3 linked regions of the Drosophila melanogaster genome follow. The protein of the gene in region 1 interacts with the protein of each later gene in a biochemical or structural test. Each region holds a gene or a part of one and is shown on either strand. Other genes may lie near its edges. The genes, in order: dpr20, DIP-epsilon and DIP-zeta.

Region 1 (8,135 bases):
AAGTTCAACAATCCGAAGAAGAAGAACTGCATCAACAGGGTCGCCTACCAGGAGATGACCCGTGTGTTGACCGAGGTCAACGACGATGAGGGCGTAACCATTGTGGTTTTCACCGGCGTGGGTGACATCTTTACGTCCGGCAACGACTTGTCCCAATCCTCCAATACCGATGACATCGACGCCTTCTTCAAGCAGTCCAATGCGACTTTCAAGGTGGCACATCTGTATATCCCATTTCATTTTTTTATAATTTATCCAATCCCTACTTGAAGGCCATGGTTCTGAGCTTCGTCAACTGCAGAAAGATTGTGCTTGCCCTGGTGAACGGACCTGCCATTGGGATTGGAGCCACCATTGTGGGATTGTGCGATGTGGCTTGGTGCTCCGAAACGGTGGGTATTGCCTCAAATTTGCTATGGCAGCATGACTTGACTGATAAATACCATCGCAGACCTACTTCTACACGCCATTCACCAAACTGGGATTGGTGCCAGAGGGCGGTTCCTCCTATATGCTGCCCCTCATCTTGGGGCGCTCAAAGGCGTCGGAAATCCTGCTGCTAAGCGAACCGCTGAGCGCCCAGGAGGCATATCAGTTCAACTTTGTTTCGAGGATCTTCAAGGCCAGCGAATTGGAGTCGGTGATTTGGCCCAAATTGCGTCAGTATTCCGAGCTGCCGACGAACTCCCTTCTGCAGGGGAAACGCCTCGTCAAGGATGGCTTCCTGGAGAATCTCATCAAGGCCAACGAGGCGGAGTGCAAGCAGCTGCTCCAACAGTTCCAGCATCCCGAGTTTGCCCAGGCCATCATAGACTTTGCCAGCCGTAAAAACAAGGCGAAATTATAAATACGGCTTAAGTTTATTACCGTCTCAGTGATTTTGTCCGCCTATTTTAAAACCCAAGAGATATGAATGCTAATTCTTGTGGCACAAACATCAAAGCAAATAGACTTCTTAGCGATTAGATTAGGGACATAATGTGTGCCTTTTGCACCATAACCATAGGTTAATCTCTTGCACTATCTGTGTATGTACATATGTACCAATATATTGCCAAAGTGCTGATTAAAAACAATTGAAGAACGCCACCTACCTGTTTGTGAATGAATCGCACAGCTGTGGTCAAGATAATAGAATGTGTAATATATGAATAAATATATAAATATATTTTAAATTCCATCGATGTTCCCGCCCTTCTGCGAAATTCAAATTGGATTCATGTATAGTTCACTTTATTATTGCGTACATACGAGTATTCGTTTATTAACATATCCTTTGATGCTTCTGCCGCGAGTGTGTATGTATATAATATGTATATGACCGTATTGCACTTTATACTAGTTCAACATTGAGTGAGTAGTTCCCCCAGGAGCTCTGAGATCCTTGCCGCACAAGCCGTGATTATGAACTGGTGGTGACTTAGATTACACTACGCTTTACATTCCTGTATCAACTAGATCTATATAGATCTAGATCTAGGCCAGACCATGAACTCTGACTGTGAGACACTCTGCTAGGGAAATTCGTTGGCCTCTCTCCGGATTTCAAATACACTCGAGCTTAGTCCTTAATCCTAGCTTAATCCTACGCGTGCCTGCTCATGTACAAATTGATGATAGACGTAGAAACATATCTATAATAGCCAGTTAAACTTAGGCTGCGTTTTAAGTTATTTCCAATAACTGCCCCTCCAAATTCAAAAACTTTACAATTAATCAACAAAAAGAGCTACGGGAGAACGATGTTCTCTCAATTTACCTAGTCCTAGTTAAGCTACCTTAGCTAAACTCCCCCCTTAGACTATTTAGCACAAGGAGTGCCATTGCATGCAGCATCACCATATTCCACCACGTGCTGTGCCATCCAACCGCACCACCATGATGCAGTTCGGCGAAGCTTTCGCCTGGAAGAGATTGCTGATATGATATGGGTTCCTACTCTAGATGAATACTCTACACCAACTCACCGTTCAGAATGTGAACCACTATGGTGAAGTTCTGGAACTCACTGATGGAGCATGTGTAGTTGCCGGAATCCGTTTTACTGATCTTCGCTATCGAGAGCGTCGAGTTGGCTCCATCCTCCATCAGTTCGGTTTTGACGCTGCGAGGATACGTAATAAATGAACCTTACTGATGGTGACCCCGACCAAGCTAAATTCACTCACCTCACTCCCCCGCGAGTAACGTCGTAGTTAAGGATGTTGTCCATGTGCTTCCAGAAGACCACGGAACTGGTCATGGCCACGTTTCGCACCACACAGGAGAGCTGTAGCGTGGAATCGATCTCGTAGTACTTCTCCTGCAGCGGATCACCCACCTCGTCCACTATCATCACTTTCGGAGCTGTGTTAAAGCATACTAAATCCCTTTCTTGCTACCCATCAGAGAGTTGGATATTCACCATTAACGTGCAGGTTGATTTGAATGACGCGTGGCGGATGCGTTGAGATCTGGCACTCGTAGATAGCCTCGTCGTCCTTCTTCACATTGGTTATCTTCAGTCGCCAGTTGTTTGGGTACTGGAACTCCATCTTGTAGCGCTTATCACCCGTATACGTGTGCATGCCCACTGTCAGCAGGTCCAGGGCGTTGCCATTGTCCTTGCCCTCGTCCTGCGTGTTGTGCCGCACCCAAGAGACCTGTTTTTAAAGTTAAATAACATACATTTTTATGTTATACCAACTAAAAAGGATTTATCTTTTTGAGACTAAGTAATGAACCTAAATATGGTGACCCCGAAAAATCATTCAATTCGATTCAATTCGAATAGCATCTCATAATCTAAACTCACAGTCTTATCCTGCAGCAGTGAGATCCTGCAGTTCAGGTGAATGCTGGAGCCCGCCTGCACGGTGAGATTGGTGGCCTGACCAATCCGCTGCACATCCTCGAAGTGGGGGCCATACCTGCACAGAATCACGGAATCAGCTCGTTTTATATCTTTTTTTTTTTAATTAAATAGAAAAGGAAATTTAAGGATTCTAAAATCCGACTAAGCTCGTTTAAAACGATGGATAACCTGCTACTGCTGATGTGGACTTAATAAAGATCTTATGGCTTTCAGGGATTTTATCCAACTCACCTCTGATCGTGATGATGGTGCTTATTGGCCGAAGAGAACGTGTCGAAGATGTAGTTCAGCATGGGTGCGTCCGTCTTCTGGCCCTTGGACAGTGGATGCTTGCTGTCCACCTTGACAGCGGAGTTGCGGACGAGTCCGGTGCTCCGGTTCCTCGCCGGCTCCGTGGGCGTGGCCAAGGAGGCGTTGCTGCTCGACGGGAGGCCGGATGAAGTGGTGGCCACTGTGGCCGGCACTAAGGCGTTAACATTCTGGCTGCCAATCTGCTGGAAGGAGGCGTTCTTCTTGTGTCCGGACGAATCGGGGCTGCTCTTTGGTGAAACTGTGCCCGATCCTGCCTGCAGGGATAACGATTCCATGTCCTGGCCCTTCATGGAGGAATCCTGATCCAGGATCGCCACCGTAGATGTCTGGCTCTCTGGGATGACATAATCGCCATCTACGCCATCATCTGAATCCTCTGCAAAGGAGTTATTGATTTTAGTGAAATCTATGTTTCGGCTTTGCGGGAGGAGAGGAGGAGATGTGGGCGAGACAATTGATGACATTGCTCAACCACTCAAGTGTGCGAACAGCTATGTTCACAAAAATAGCATTACACTTAAGGATGATTTATTCTTACTTTCTTACTGGGACCATTTGGCAATTGAAGGATACACAGAAAAAGAAAAATGAAAAATCGTTTGAGTTTAAAACGTAACTTTTTTTAGCATTCTATTTCCAGCTATACCATAACTAAACATAGTTTATGGTTTTTATAACAATAGTCATGTTCACAATACGACTGTCGCCCCTATTAATTTGTCCCCCACTGTATCTATAGCTATATGTCTATATGCTAATGCCAAGTTGGCCGATATTTGTGGCGGAGTTTGTTTGTTCGTTGCGAATACACTGGGACAATACAAATGTTTAGTTTACTACGCCAAAGCTAAACAAATAAATATTTCGCAGTCATCGCATGTATTGAAATTTAGGAAAGTTAAATGTTCTGTGCACAAAATTTAATTTACTGTTTAAAACTTTAAGTGCTTTGCCTCTGCAAATAAAAAACTTCAAACTCGGAAATTTTTGGGTCATAGTAAAATGAACAAACAAGTGAAAGTTTAAAAACTATTAACTGGACTGTAAATTCATTAACTTCCTTGGAACTTAGAGAAATTTATCAAAAACAAATCCTTTATATTCTTTATACATATTCATTTCCGGCTCTTCATAGAAAATGTTTGAAAATACTTAGGAAAATAGTATTTCCTAATATGAGCATTTTTTCCAGCGAACTTTTTGACAGCAAACTGTCATTCAATTTATACAAAAACAATTTGCATAATATTTTCAATCAAAGACACTTTATTAGTTTATTATTATATTTTTCACGCACCAATAAACTTTAAAATGTTGTGGGGCTTTTCTGTGCCCAAAAAACAGACACATTACTTTAATCTTTAATCACTTTCACTTGCAATTTCAACTTCTGCGTTTTTTTTTTGAAGTTTTAACCCCTTTCATTTCACTTAAAAAACCTTGATTATGTGCTGACCTCCTTTCGGAAACCATAAGTTTCAGTTTCTGAAAGAGGTCTCCTTTCATGTGGTTAAATCAAGGGTATATGAAATTCCAGAAGGCATTTTGGACACGATGATTGCACGTACAATGGCTGCGAAGCAATTGAGTCAGCAGGATAATTGAAAACCAATTATATAATTATGCATTAACCGCATTGCAAAGCTAGCGGGTAGCAATTTCGCAATTTGCCTACCGTAACTACTCCGTAACGTGGACACCTGGTTGTGGATGTGGGCGTGGGCAGTGGGGGGCGTGGCTGGCGTTGTTTGCAGCGGAACCTTGGTCGTTTCCCGTGGCTCAACCAAGGCATCCAGCGACTGAATCATGTTAACCGAGTCGTAAATTGTCTTGGCCTGGACGAGTCCGGAGCCCATGATCGTTGCGATGAGGAGGAGCAGCCTGATCAGGTTGGGCACGGCGCAATCGAGGTGAAGGTCACCCCTGGATGATGAGAACTTGGTGGCGTCTGTCGTTGATTTAGTTCTGGGTCGCGTTCTTGCAGCTGGTTCATTCAAACGCATTTTGCAATCTCAAGTAGTCGGCTCTAACAAACTGCATTGGACTCGACTATTTCCCCTTCTTGTGGGTCACCTTTTTGGGGTCACCTATGGCGTCTCACGCACTTTGGCCATTTGTCTTTTCTTGCCTGCTCGTTTTGGTTTGGCCGTCACGTAGATATCAACTTGATTAATTTCACATACAGCAGGGATATCCTTATTGATTAGCTTAACATGTGCTCTAGGAACGATCGTTACGATTTCGAATCATATTCGGGATTCATTCACTTTCGGGGCTCACTGATGCACACGCTTGTAATGCACCGTTTGTAATATGCACAGGGGACACAGAACGGAACAAGGACACAAGGATTGAATCCGGACAGGATCTGAGGGAAATGCATTGGGCAGCGGACCTAATCCTCATGCATTCTTCAGTTGCACCGAAACGAAGGCAGGTCGCAGTGACGGCTCGAACTGCATCACGCACCAAATAGACGACACCGACTTGGTCGAAATCGGGAGTACGGATCACTCGTCCATCCGGTTCTTTGCGAAGAACGTCTACGCGGTTGAAGGCTTCGCCAATGACTGCTTAAGGAACTGGGTCCCAATTGTTGTTAATGTCCTGCTCGTCCTGTGCTCGGCTTCACCACAGGATGATCTCTCTCTTTTCCCATCTGCGCATGTCCTTGTTTCGTTAAGTTTTTCCCCTCTATGGTGTCTCTAGGAGTCCTTTTAAAAGGACTCACCTTTCGGAGTTAACGAGGGGTGCTTATGTGGGGGAATTCGTTTCGGAATAAGCAGTTCAAGGCAGTCAATTGATAAGGTATATAACCATTATCAGGTATCAAAATCAGACATAAATTATTTTTTGACTATATTTATGGGATAAAAAATGTATCTATATCATAATAGATTGATTAATAAGGATGTATATGGGTATATTGGATTGACCTCTATTTGGAACTCGCAACGTATGGAACAATTTCCATAAAGCAGTTGCTTCTTCGTTTCTAAAATTTTTATAGAAGTAAAAATTATGGTAAAGCAAGCGAGTATAACATACTTTCCATAAATGTGCTGTGCTACACCAGAGGGCGCCACTTATTTAGAACACAGTATAACCTCCCTTAATTGTTTTTCCCCAGCAGAAGGTTATAGAAACGAAGTTCCAAATGAAGATTCAACATTGTGGCACGCAAAGTATTATATGTCTCTTAGGCTTCAAACTCTCAACGATATATGATAAGAAGTTAGTCAACGTGGGTCTTCACTGTCCATTTAGACCAACTCGCTGAAGAGTTGTTATAGTGGATAGCATGGGGGATGATTGGCCTCTGTTGTGGCTCTGGTCTGGTATCTCGGACTTCCATTTCAGACGAACCTCGTCTTATCAGACGCGCGAGTTAAGTCCGTGATCGAGGGTGGAGCCTTTTGTGAAGATATGATGTGTAAATGTATGAAGGTTTTTAAGTTTCAGCAGATAGTTGTAGTGTGAAGATTTCCAATAAAGAATACGACTGACTTTCTTGAAGTTCAAAATCAGTATGAAGTTTATTGTCAGAGAGTGGCTACTCGAGTCCTCCGTTTTCGTCTTATACATAAGTACATAGGTTCTTAATTGTAAGCATAATGAACATGCCGACTCGGCATGTGGCTGGCTAGCTGGGGACAATGTTGCAGTGCGACTTTTGTGTAATGTCAGCATTCGGCCGGAATGTCAGCATTCGGCCGGATGCGGTGTTCCAGTTGCCGTCTTCCCGGTTGAGTGTCCGATGATTTGTTTAGAGGCGTGGGGGTTTAGGGGGTGGGGTGGTAACTCCTCCCCCCCCAGTTCGAAGTGACGGCCATAGCGAAGGTATGGATGACGCGTAGATTGGTACGTGATGATCCTCGTGGATGTGGACGATGTGTTTCGTTCGTCGGTGCAGCCATAAGATGACTGCTAGGAACGTTACCAATCCGAGCAGAGTGTAGAGTGTCCAGGTGTGCTGTATAGTATTGTGATGGACGGCCAGGATTTTATCCATTGTTTGGGTGGCTTCGAGGTGCAGTTTTTCTAGGCTTAGTACCGTAATAGTGGTATTCCTAGTTACTTTTCGCATGGGGGGAAGATCAAAATCCGTCTGTTCAGGGAACGTGTCAACCGTGCCGTCGTAATCGATACCGTTAATCTGTATTGTTTCGTTAATGTATCTGATGATGGCTGACCCCATTATTGAGAGCTCGGAGCCGTTTGTTAGGGATACCTTCAGTTTGTTCACGTTGAATGCGAAGATGTAACCTCTCTCTGCCTCGAACACGTCGGTGATGGGGCCGGTTTCCCGTACATCGCAGGAACTGTTTTCTCCGTTCAAAAGGTGTTCCAGGCATGTGTTGTTCTGTGGTGTATCAACGTAGAAGTTCTCGTCGCACAAGAATGTATTATCCAGTTTGGGGCATTTACGGGTCATATGAAATTTCTTATTATTAATATTATAAGCTAGGTAATTTGGGGTTATTACAAAATATGTGTTATTTATTGGTAATGGAACTAGTCTGGCGAGGGTATGAAAAGGTTGTTTAAAAATTGGGACTTTGATATTAAAAATAATCTTTTGTTCGTAATTTAGTGTATTCATTTGTAGGAAATTGTATATACTTTGTTCATTTTTGACTGTGATATTTTGTTTTTCCAGTATTGTTTTTATTTTATCCATTTCTTGTTCATTTAGGATGAACTTGGGAATTATATTTATTTTCGCCAATAGCATACTTTCTGTTATGTCGTTTAGGTGGTTAATGAATAATTCTATGTTATAATTAATCCTATTTAAATATTGTATTTCTTCCAGAAGGGTATCTTGTAAGTTTAAGTGTTTGTATATTTTGTTTTGTGAGGTATCAAAGAATTTACTTATCAAAATTTGTTCATTATTTATATGGTCCGTGATATTTTCGAACCGGATAAGTATTTCGTTGTTAAACATTACTTGTTTTTGGAGATT
Region 2 (6,392 bases), on another chromosome or scaffold:
AGTGGGAAAGGAAGTATGCTACGTAAAATACTGAGCAATGAAAATATTAATAACGTTAATGAAAATTACATTTGCAGGCCGCAAACTTGAGGAGCAGATTGTGCAGATTTATTCGACTATTTGTTCTTTTACATTTTTTCGCGCTCCTTTTGAGAGCATTTCGAATCAAACGAGGCGTTTTATGTTTAATGCATTTTCATTCTTAAATGATATGTTTACATGATATGGTCGAGTTCAGTCAAATCACACAACCCCCAGCAATAATATTATACACTAAAAGTAATAAATAGGTGGACCATGCTATTTACCATAAAACCCTTATTATTATAAGTAAATAGCGCAGAATATCTGATTATGATAAAAATCGAATTGTTTACATCATTTAAAATTACAATCATCATTATTTACCATTAATTGAATAAAGCTTAGTGCACCAATATTTTACTTTTCCGGATAAATTACAAATTGAAAAGAGAATGATGATTGCACATATTAAGTCCATTTATTTGATTAATACAAATACTTATTATTATCGTTCCCTGCATTTAAAAACCCCAAAAAAGAGCAATCTGCAGCAAACATTTTAACTATATTGTTTGCTATAGAATGAAGTATAATTTTAAACAGAATTTTTTGGTTTTCCTTTCGTGATACAATAAGTATAATTATAATAAAGGACATAACATTAATTTCCTAAATATTATTTTTACTCACCATTATTTAGGGTTGAGCCACCGACGTTACCGGCGTTGCCTTCACTTCCAGTATCTGTACTTAGTGCCACAGAGGAGGCAATCAGGCAACCAAGGCCCACATACAGAAACGAAGAAATCGCTTCGAGGTGGTATGCCATTTTGCTGTAAGTTTGATGCCCCTTTTTTTTACCGTTGTTTAGCTTTTCAATTAAGAAAACTTAATTATTTATTGCGTACAAATATTGTGCAGCATTACAGTATATTCCGGCTCATGTTGTGTTTGCTTTTGGAATCGATCAACGTTTAATTGCGATTGGCTTTTATGCACGCTACCCCTGAAATATGAGGAGAAATTATAGGTTGCCATTATTGATGAAAATATTAATAAAAAAAAGAAATTATACATGGCTTCATGCTTTTAGGCTTAAGTGTACATTTAATTTGTCATTGCTCAATTTTCCATTTACCGCAAGGAATGAGACCTGTTTTCGTGTTACACGGCTATCCCATACCCTTTACACGGCTTATTGATTACAACCGTACTTAATCATATCTTATAAACTTTAATCTAAGCTTTCAAATTTATAATAGTTGAAGAGATTTTGTATATCATACATACGGACAGACGAGCGGACACACCATTTTTTATGCTTAAGATTTTTATGAGCCATTTTAACCAGACCCACACCTGGCTTGCATCTTTTTCACGGATTAAGGAGTTTTCAATAAAGAGGATCAGCATTAGGAAGATATCAGAGCAGTGACGAACCCTAAGTCTCCGAACGACCTCAAATCCGTTCAAATGCCAGGGACAACGTTATCGTCACCATCAGAATTATCAGCTTCCTTTTCGTGGTTGTTTTGCTGCATGCATGCATAGAAGAATTTTTTCCTTGTTTTTAATTCCTGCTCGTGTCATAAGCGAAAAGCAATTTGCTCTGTCAGCTGTTGTTTTACACTCCGGCTACGGCAGTCAAGTAAACCCATGGAGGTCCTTCCAGTCTCGTCAATTTCTTCATTCTATTGCAATATGAATGCATTTCAATTAGAATGCCTCCTTGGGGACAGCTGTTGTGGATTTTCCATTAAGTAAGGGTTATTGAAACCGAATTGCAAACTTAATTGATTTCTAAGCCGGCCGACTTAACATTCATTTTGGTTGTGATATCTAAACAAAGATTTTGAACGTTATGCTGAGGAAGATTTTAGTGAACCATTGACATCTTATAAGATTCAATTTTGTTTCTTATAAAATGTGTTTTTTAGATTTAAGCGTTAATGACCCAAAGTTCACCTGATTGATAAGCAACCAACTGATGGTCAAAAATATATGTATTATTGTATGAATGACATAAATACGTGATAGTTTGGTACACCAAAATGTATTGTCTGGTGTATTTTCACGCGACGACGATTGTTGCATCCATAGAACTAACCGCGAAATGTAAATGGACCGTGAATTCGTAATGCATTTAAATCATTGTAAACAGCAATGTTTGTGCCCCGCAGACAGAAAGGATATTTCCCACATCTTCGAAGTGATGTAGCCGCATGATGAAAAGGAGCCAGCGGTGAATGCTCCGCCGGTCTGACTTCTGCTCTGTCTTTCCGTCTCCTAGGGAGCATTTACTCGCTTTTGCATAATAAATCAATTTACATTTCCTTTCACACGCAAAAATGAATAACGAATAATAGCAACAAGCCCGTGGCGCAGAAATCTTCTATCGTATTCTTCGGGTAAAAGTACGTATAGCATGAGAAAGGAGTGCTTCCTTTCTGCACTATAATCACACCGAACCGAATCAATCAATCAAAATGAAATTAATTATTTAATTATAATTATTATTTCTTTTCTTTTCCACAGCACAGGGAATTCAACCAAGTGCTTGTGTCACCCAAAGGATTCGATCTTTAGAGCTAACTTTTTAATGACGATTGTGTTTATTTATTACTGAAGTGAACATAAAACTTCAATTTCACACTAACCGCAAACAGCGCATCGTAAATTCGTATTACCTCTTAAAACGATTTCATTCCACGGTATATTAATCTTTTCGATCGGACAATCATTGCAGATTTCTGCACGTTTGTTTACATATATAGTAGCCGGCTTTTGCACTTCGGTGCACATTGCCACCACGTAGACGGCCGTCAGGAAGATATATAAATATCTGAGTCAGACTGTGCCGCGGGAACTGGAAACGCACAATTTAAGTTGGAAATAAAGACAGAGGATGGTTTAATTTAAACAAGTAGATATTGGTCTTTACGAGGATGCCATTGGCCATGTAAATAATAATAATAATTTGCTACGCATTTAGTACTTAGTTTCATAAATGAAACAAAAAGAAAATTAAATTTGAAGTTAGATTTGCATACAATTCGCATTATTTTGAAAGCCGGCTAATGAAACATTCAAAGTGCAATCAATTGCCTGCACAGCTTCTCCCAGCAGATGTAAACCAATTCGGAAGGATCCTTTGTAAAAGATGCAGCTCCCTAAACAGGCCATCCTGCGAACTCACTATTCAATGATGCCCCATCTGCAACTTCGTTCTCCTCCATCCGATGTCGCCCTGCTTCCAGAAACTAATAACTCACCGTGGCAATGTCTGGCTGCTGGATGGGGCGTCAGATGTCGGCAGGAATCAGCAAATCAATTTATAAATAGAGCAGCGAGACAACATAACAACGGATTTTCATGTTTCCCTCTGCCGTTCTCCGTTTTTGCAACATAACTAAATTAGGGGACCACGCGGCAGACACACAGACGCCGTCACAAAGCCAGCAGCTCCTCCGGTGGGCAGCGGAGGTGCATAAATGGCATGGGATATCGAATAAAAGCACTCACAGCAGTTGATTTACAACAACCATTCGCCGCCACTAATGCCAATCGAAAATACTATTTTAAACTATTTGGCCAGTGCAAATAAGAAAGACCACGTCCACGCACGTCTAACGAAACCGATTCTGGTTCTGATACCGTTACCGATTCGGGTTCGGGATTCAAAAGCGATTGCGACTGCGACTGCGAATACTGATGCGGATGCGGTACCGCAGACTAACGACAACCGAACGAAACGACAGCCGATTTCACACTGGCAGCAGCATCCCGTCGTGCGATTCACTTCGGCTGCGGCATGTTAAAAAGATAAACAAATGTTGCGGTTGGCCGTGATTTATGTTAGCTTACATATGTTTATAGCCCTGGCTGCAGAGCCAAACAGCACTTTCTGCTACTAACAGCCCCGAAAACAGCGAACAATCAATCCAACGATCCGCCGAGTGTTTTAATGCACCACTCCACTATCCGTTCCGTCAGCTAATGCGGCGGGTTAAATTTTATGTTCATCATGTGAGAGAAAAAATGTGAGAAAAGCCAAAGGTCGCAGAATTTCCAGTATTAGTATGTGCATATGTGAGCTAAATAAAGAAACGTATTATTTCTTTCTGAACATAATAGAGCAGGGCGTATCACTTGTGTAAGCATTTTTGAGTTATCCCTCAAAACTCCCTCATCTGTCTTACAGTGAAAACATGTTTTTCATCTTCGCTAATCATTGAACATTTGTTACTTGGTCTTTGAGCGGGCATAATGGAATAATAGCTTAGCACTTTAACACATTTACAGCTAGGGACTGCAAACGCATTTCCAAGTTCTGTGACCATAAATGTCAGAGTTCAAAAGGCAAGACTTCTTTAGCTTGCTGTTAACATCGCTATCTTAAGAAGAGGATGCTGCAATACAAACTTCATTAAAGAGAAATTTATAAAAGAACTTGGTTTCTTTGCTCTACATTTCCCTTTATAACCCCTAACAAAGCTCACACAATTTGGTCCTACAAGCCTTAACATTTCCCATTTTACACCCCAAGCAAAGCTTCATCATGTCGGTCCTGCAATACCCTAACATTTCCCGTTATTACCCCTGATAAAGCTACTGCTAGTCGAAAGCGCTCCGTGCCGTGAATTTATTAACTTTGAGCGTCCGTCTAAGCTTTAAGTAGTGACGAAAGCTCCTGTCACAAGACGCTTTGCTCTCCTGTTGACTTTAGCCACTTGACAGCGCAAAACGCGAAAGCCACAACACTCAGTCGAAACAGCTGACTCTCAAAAGGTGGCCACCACCCACCACCCAACTGCTGCAGGGCCAAACAGAAACTCCGTCACTAGGCTTACGGAGCATTTAGCCAAGAAAGCGTGGGGGCGTCACCGTCACTCACTGACGTCGACGCACTCGGCGCATGAAAAACAGTTACGCTCTGTGCCGCGGAGTGTGTGGAGTTGCGTTGAAAGGGGCTCCGGAGTCCAAAAGGGTAATCGGAAAGCCCACGGGAAGGGGCCATCACCGCGGAGCCTTGACCCGAGCGTAATGAAATGTGGCGCCTGGCTGGCGAAAAAGTGACGTGAAATGCCAAGTGCAGCCGCATCGAAGCCAGCAAGGATCTTGTAGCAGCGACAGGAGCAGCCCCTTCTCCATGGGTTCATGCCTTGGCAGCTGTGCCACAGCTGCCGCCGCACCAGCCCACTCCGCCTGCACCTCAACGTCCGACTCCACCACCCACTCGACTTCCTCGACGTCGTCTTCACTGACAACTCCCCCCACGTCCTGGGTGGCCAACAGCTGGCTCTGGTGAGTGGGGCCAATTAGTTGAAGCTCAACTCCGCTGACTTTCGTTCGCGCGCAAATCCGCTGACCAATCAATAGTGGCTAAGCACGGGGTGGAATTGGCTAGTTGGGGGTCAACAGCCTAAAACTATGCAACGGCCGCTGGTTGCCACAAAACAATGTGCCACAGGCGGGCTTCCCGCCCAAGTGGGTGCTTACTGCAACCAAATACGTAAACAGTAAATACTAGTTATATGTGATATTCTTTAAGAGTTAACAAAAGCTTTTACTTTATAATAATTATTAAAAACATCTTTAATAAAAAGTGGTATCTTTCATCTTCTAGGCGAAAGAACAGATCTGCAGGAAGACAAGATCCAGAGGCAGATCTCTTATCGAGGACCACCAGGCAGCGCTGCCAACGGAACGGATTCATCTACCGCATCCTGCGGCTCAAGAAAAGGCAGCAGTGTCCCAGCTTCCTGGACAAGTACTGGGAGCAGCAGCCCAGCTACGCCAAGCTGCCGACCACGTATGTTAAGTCTCCTAAGGTGCCTCCTAGAAATAAAACCAACTTAATCCTTGCAGCGCCATGGCGGACATTCAAATGCAGAACCTGGACGCCGGCAAGTTGCTCAACGCCCAGACCACGCCCAGTCGGGAGACGGAGATGGGACTTGGAGCCTACCAGCGCATGGCCAACTCGCGGGCCAGCTCCTCCTTGGATCTCGAGTGGGAACACGAGTACTCACAGCTGCGGCAGTATCAGTACCAGTGCCAGCAGGTGCCCAAGGAGCTGCCACCAACGCCACCAAAGCCGCGCTACGCATCCTTAGACCAGCTGGCGGCAGCCAATGCGATGGCCACCAGCCAAGGACGACACATGGCGCGCCAAGCCAGACTGAGTTGCCAGCGCCACGGAGGTTCGCTCACGCGGAACTCGTGCTGTTCGTCTACGCAAAACTCCTGGTCGCACATATCCACGCCAGAGTCGCTGGAATGGGACGTGGACGAGGAGCGAGAGCAGCAGCGTCAGCTTCGTCTGGAGGATGACAATCTGGATGATAGAACGCTCAAGTTGCTGCATC
Region 3 (6,293 bases), on another chromosome or scaffold:
GGAAAATGCCTAACCGGAAATCATAAAAAATACATTTCTTTTCCGACATATTTGATACTTGAGTCTGCGAACTTTATGAAATCTTGGAGAAATAAAGTTTCCATACCGCATGTGCTGACAGCCAAGTTTATGCCAATTAATTTAAATGCTCTTTTCATTTGTTGTTTATCTTAAGTTTTGGTTCTTTCACTCGCTTCCTTCCTCACCGAGCATTCGTTTTTCTTTTACAACTTCATTTTTGTCTATGCCGTAGTATCTTAAGATCATCTAAAAGAAATGTGCACAGTGTGCTTTGATTTTATCTGTACATTAACTATTTATGATATAATTAATAAAAAATCATATATATATATCATATAATTCACTTTATAAACACCACCAATATTTGACTAACTTCATAATTTGTATTAACATCTAATTGATAATATTAATTTAGATTGATTTTTAGTATAGACACTTTATTTTAGAAAATCGAATTTAAAAATTTTTTTAATTTTACTGGTAATATTTTCATTGGACATGTCGATATGTGTCTGATATTGTAGTTTAAATTCATAGGTCTTTGAAATATAGTTGTGTCACGCGCAGTCCTCTACTCTGGTTGCTGTTTCTTGGCCATCTCATTCAAAACTTTCTCTTAAAAATTGTATTTTTTATGGCTTTTGAGCGTGTCGCCTTCAGCTATTTAGGGGGTCCACACGCAGCTTGCGAAACACTTACACAGAGACAAAACTTTTTCCCTTATGACTCGCTTATGAAATTAAGCAATTTTGACTCCACCTCTTCCCCCAAAAACCACGCACACATGATAAAGCTTTTTTGGTATGGACCGAAACAGATTTACCATCAGAAACAAGAACAAGAAGTCCAACAAATTTTATGCACTTTTTTATGAGTTTGGCAAAGTGTTTGTAATTAAATTAATAAATTGTTGAGGGAGAAACTTGTTCCGAATGTGTTTTTCTTGTATTTTTATGCTAGGAAATTAAATTTTAATGGGGCTATTTAGTGTTTGTTTGGTTTTTGCTGTTTTTATAATGATAACTTTTTGGTAAAACAAATTGGCTTATAATTGTTGCGGGATTAAAGGGACTTAACTAAACGGGTGCGTAGATGAAAGAGACAATAACATTTATTTGTTTATGCTGACTAAGTTCATAGCCATTATAATATTTTTTATTGGGTGTTTAAATTTTCTTTTTAAAAGATTCTGTGTAAACGTAAATTAATCCTGACATAGTCATTAGCCCAAAAAAAATGTTCCTAGCTCTCAGGGGATTTCTCCTAAGCTTCTATAAATGCCTGACAGCTTTTAACCTTCATGGTTTTGTGGTAATTGAAGGGAGAAAAGAAAGCAGCACAAAGGAGGCCGAAATTGAATTAAGATATGTTTACCTATGGCCGAATTTATTTACATTAAAAGGTTCTTCAAAGAAGAAGCAAGCTAGAAAGGTTGTGCCTGTTACCTATCACTTATATTTTGGCAGCAAACAATACAAATACATGAAAATAAAATTCCGATTTAATTTGGTTTTATTTAAGGACTTACATCTCTCCCTTATCGAAAATTCGTTAGTTCACGTTACTATTTATTCGGATAATACAAGCTTAACTAGACTCAATTTAACTCTGATTTTATCTGGATAAAGTACTCTATTATATTTTCAGAAGTGCAATATAGAAACTAAATTTACCAAATAAACGCACCAATAAATATGCACTTATGATCAAAGCTCACACATATTTTCGACATCATCATCAGCAGCATCAAAGTTTTGCTATTTTGTTTGTTTTACTCTACACAATTTGTAAAGTTCCTGTAACTGCAAACGTCAAACCGAACTCGAGCAAACAAAACGCAACAAAGCTGAACTCAAAAAAGAATTCAAAAAAGATGGAAATAAATAAAGAACCAATAAGCCCTCTCTTCACTAGCTTTTGAAAAAAGTTCTGAAACAGCTGACATCCATGAGTTTCCCATCCTTCTTCTGCTCTGTGTGTTTACGTGTCTTACTCAAACTGTATCAGCTCCATATTGCCATTGATCTGCAATGATGCCTGAATGCAAAACATACCATTGTACAGTGGATACCCAACAAAATGAATCATTTCACATATGTTATAAATATGAAATAATTTAAATCTTAATTATATATTAAATGGAATTAAAATATTTGGACCATAAGAACCGATATATTGATATTAGTGGTGGATCCATTCTAAGTCTTGGTATATTGAATAAATTATGTAAAGTATTTTTACAACAATTTCTATTAGTTTCCAATGTTGTATACTGTAATTAAATATTTCTCTTTAATATTTTTTTTTTTTAATAAATTGTAACAAAATGCTAAGAAACGTTTACAATGAGCTTTGACAATATTCATACTCAAAGACTTATTCTGCATTTGGAATACAGTTGTGTCCAGTAACACATAGGCCCCACTGTACTCTCTGCGTTGTCTGTCTCTATCTCCTACTCCATTAAGTATGCAAGTTTTCAGCAGTTGGCAGTCGGGTCCTGGCCCTTTTCCCTGCATATCCTGATTCTCATGGATGCAGTGGGTTAATGTATTTTTAAGCTAAATTCTTTGTTTATATTTGCCTTGCTGTTTTCGGTTGTGTTTGTGTGTTGTGCATTGCGTTGCAGTGGCAACAACTGCTGTCCTTTATCAATCGCAACAAATTTCCCCTTCGACTATTTTTTTTGCGAGTTGTCCCAAAGTGAACTCTAGTGGATTCATTTATTCGCATATAAGTTTGTTTGGGAATTTTTCACAGATTGAAGAATGGCGTTGTGTGCGTGTCTGCCAGTTTTCGGGATTTAAGGACTTCGAGGGTCCTGGAGATAGTCTCGCTGTTTGTTTACTTTTTGTTGGCATGAAATGTGCATTAGCAGAGTTAACTGTTAATTGTTTACCCATTTCGAGGGCCTGACAAGTGACATGTGAGTTTGTGGTCTGGATTGTAGCTGTGGTTAACCATTAAATGGAGTTCAGTTATTTGAAATACTCGCACTAAGATAAATCGAAGTCTTTAATTGCATTTGAATGATCTGCAGTCCCAAACATAAACCTTTTACATTATATATTGTAATTAAGATTTTATACATAAATATAATATATAGCGTAACGAAACAAACGCATTAAACCAACTCCTTATTGCATTTTCAATTTTTAACATAGCTTATAATTACTTATCCTAACCGGCACTCGCACTTTTAAAAATTGTTGGAACTTTCGATTTAATATACTTCTGTCACTGATATTTATAAATAATATCTAAAGTTTGTTAAATTTAAAATTCCATATTTTTATAAAGTTTCTATTCTATTCTATGAATTATTAATAAAAAAGACTTTTCCGATGATCAAATTGTTCTTCTGTTTAAGACCTTAATAGTATGAATTGCATGTATTGAAATAATTAATTTACATACTGTAACTACAAGAATATTTTTGTGAATATTTAATTCTGTAGGTTAGTTTTGTGTTACGTATGATATACCAAGTTTTCAACCACTTTTACAAATTGTAATCTTTCAATAAAACGCTTACAAGTTTTGGTATTTTTTTAAATTTTATAATCAAGTGGACCTAAGTTTTTTAGCTCGACTTTTAAGTCATTTCTCAACACGATCACATTGAGTCAGGTGCTTCTAATTTGGCATCGATCACATGACACTTGAGTACGACTTTCCCTTTGCCGGGGATCTTTCAGTGTAACACCGATAAAACGCGTCCGCTTCGTGCAGAATCCGTAGCGAAACTGATTTGCCGACGAAACCTAATGCTCGCACAGAGCCGGGCTCTGGCTTTCCACCAACAACAATAAGGGAAAATCTAACGAATGGGAAGTGCTGTTACGTATACGCCGCGTTGGCCGAGTGATAACAGGCGGGGACGAGCCGACGGCCGACAGAGCGAGCCGAAGTGTAGCTTCGGTTTAAGCCAACCAAAGGACGCTGGATGCTGTTCATTGGTAGTTGTTGCTGCCGGTTGCTGGTTATGTCCGGTATCCTTGTTATGTTCGGAGGCTTGTTGTTTGCGTGCAACCGCAACCACAACAACAGACCGCAAAACACGCGACAAAAATGTTAACAGAGTCCAACCTGCAACACCATGCCCCAAAATCACCTCTCAAAGTTCGAGTTGCATGCCGATTCCGCCGTCGAACCTTTTTGGCTCGTTCCGGCTGAAGCTGTACCCTTTTAATAATAATTGAATTAAGATAAAATGAAAACAAAATCAAAACACATTTTTGCTTTCCGTTGGTTGCTGCATATTGCTATTTGGAGCCAAGTATTTAATTAGACAAGTTAATTAAATTTATTTGCATTTCATTTCAAGTCCATGTGCGTATGTTGAGCGAAAAAAGTGCAATTAATTTGAGATATTCAATTTGCAAGCGTTGCTTATTCGATTTTCGCTGATGCAGGACCATCTAATTGAGGGTGATAATTGCGTTTTATGACTGACTGAGCTAGCAAAGCTGGTTGTCAGTTGGTAGACGGTTAATTAAGAAGTTCTTTTCAAAGTTAACAGTGGTATTTTTGAATGGTTAGACAGATAATATTTTTAGTTACTTATTTTTTGAAGTATTTCATGATGATTTTATCCTATTAAATTAGGTGCACGAAAAAAGTTTTGCTATTTTTTAACTAGACCTTGTTTTAAGGGCACTGTAATCATCTCGACAAGCACTGGTCAGTTGTGCAGAAGGAAAAAAAAACGATGCATATCCGTCTGAAAGTTAGTCTATATATAGACGGATTGTATGCGATATGAGAGTGATGAATTCTCCCTGTTGGCCATACTGAACTATCTTAATGAACTCTTTCAAATCACAGACATCGCTCAATGCCAAAAACATTAAAACTGACAAGGCTAGACGGCAGACAAGATGACTGCTCTGTGACCCTCTCCCTGGGATTCCTCTACACACCACACACCCAAGGAGAAACGTGCACCATCGCTTGGCAAGTTCATTGTGGGGGGAATCCCAGAGGTGATAGGGCGGCGAGTGGGCGTGGTCGACTGTTGCGCCAGGATGTGACCAAAACAGGAAGAGTGGGTGGAGCGGGTGGATTAGGTGATGGCGAATGAGGAGGCGGAGGCGGAAAGGCCACAAAGGTCGTTGCAACACATTCGCTTCGTTGGGTCAAAAGTCAAGCGTTGGACGGGGGATCCCTTTGGATGCCAGCCATTACAACACTTTGTTGGCTGCTTTGTAAAGTTTTTCTCACCATGGAAAAAGTTTTTTTCTCTCTTTCCCAGTCTTTTTGTATTTTTCACGCCTTGTCCGAAAGTTTCCTGTTTTTCCCCTCTACTTGTTTTGCTATTTTTTCCCGCTGCCGCCTTAACAATGAAATTTTTGACTGCTGATTGTTTGCTGTTCAATGTTATTCTTCCAGTTCAATGCGAGTTTAAGTAGACAGAGCTAAACAAAATGGAAAAAAAGTATACAAAACCGGTCGGAAATATTGGACCTCCTTCTCTGGTACTTAGCCAAAGTCTGCAGCAAATTGAAAATGGAAAGTTTGGTTCCTGTTTTCCTGTGTAGATATATTCACAATTTCTTTTGCAGTTTGTCTGCGACTTTGGTTAAGTATGCCCTGCAGTCTAGTCTCTCTGCTAAGGACTGCCCAAATGAGGTAAAATAGTTTGGGGAATACTATCGGCAAAGTTTTGCCCCGGCTTGTCTGGTAAGATTTATATTTGGGATATTTGAGTTTAGGAAACAAAACAATACATGTACGAAAATCCGACCGAGTAATAAAACAAGATTAAAGATGAGAATCGAAAGTTTAATGGGCGGAGATTTGTAGACCCTTTTATGGCCAACAAACGTAATAACATCACGTAATTTTGAGGGTTGAAAAAACCGCAGGCTGACGTCGCATTTCCATTTTCCCAGCGGAGGCGAAAATGGAATGGATTTAAAACCAACTCCCCATAAGCATGCATTCATTTTTCCAGCAATTTTCACACTCAAGCTGGCATGCACTTTGCTGCATCTCCCCTTGATGCATCCCCTCGTTTTATCTGACAGCTGCACTTACGCAATGTTACGCATAAGTGCCCTTTAGCACCTAGCAAGTTGAACATTTTTTATTTCACTTTTTCTGGCAGTCGATGAGGGCTTATTATACGAAAAAACATTTGTGCATTCCACCCACTTAAAAGGAAGGACAGATTCGTTTTTAAGATGTTCTCTGTTCCCAATAATTTTCAACACCTAACGTATGATGTTTGAGTATTATTCAGGTGTCAAGCTTAGTTTAATTTAAATTAC

The links.
Region 2: the proteins of dpr20 (region 1) and DIP-epsilon form a complex in vitro, tested with the Drosophila melanogaster proteins (one study listed by BioGRID).
Region 3: the proteins of dpr20 (region 1) and DIP-zeta form a complex in vitro, tested with the Drosophila melanogaster proteins (one study listed by BioGRID).

The regions. Positions count from the first base shown.
Region 1 is NT_037436.4:851,502-859,636, forward strand, and holds dpr20 (defective proboscis extension response 20), read right to left. Parts: upstream 5,748-8,135; 5' UTR 5,170-5,747; coding exon 4,842-5,169; intron 3,543-4,841; coding exon 3,086-3,542; intron 2,910-3,085; coding exon 2,795-2,909; intron 2,643-2,794; coding exon 2,405-2,642; intron 2,347-2,404; coding exon 2,169-2,346; intron 2,105-2,168; coding exon 1,968-2,104; intron 1,905-1,967; coding exon 1,780-1,904; 3' UTR 1,219-1,779; downstream 1-1,218. Other genes in the region: Dci (Dodecenoyl-CoA delta-isomerase), read left to right, coding at 1-213, 273-392, 452-847.
Region 2 is NT_033779.5:6,407,531-6,413,922, forward strand, and holds the start of DIP-epsilon (Dpr-interacting protein epsilon), read right to left. Parts: upstream 3,797-6,392; 5' UTR 3,297-3,796; intron 1,031-3,296; 5' UTR 854-1,030; coding exon 715-853; intron 1-714. Other genes in the region: CG13982 (uncharacterized protein), read left to right, coding at 5,174-5,328, 5,651-5,836, 5,893-6,392.
Region 3 is NT_033779.5:9,067,394-9,073,686, forward strand, and holds the start of DIP-zeta (Dpr-interacting protein zeta), read right to left. Parts: upstream 3,772-6,293; 5' UTR 3,439-3,771; intron 1-3,438.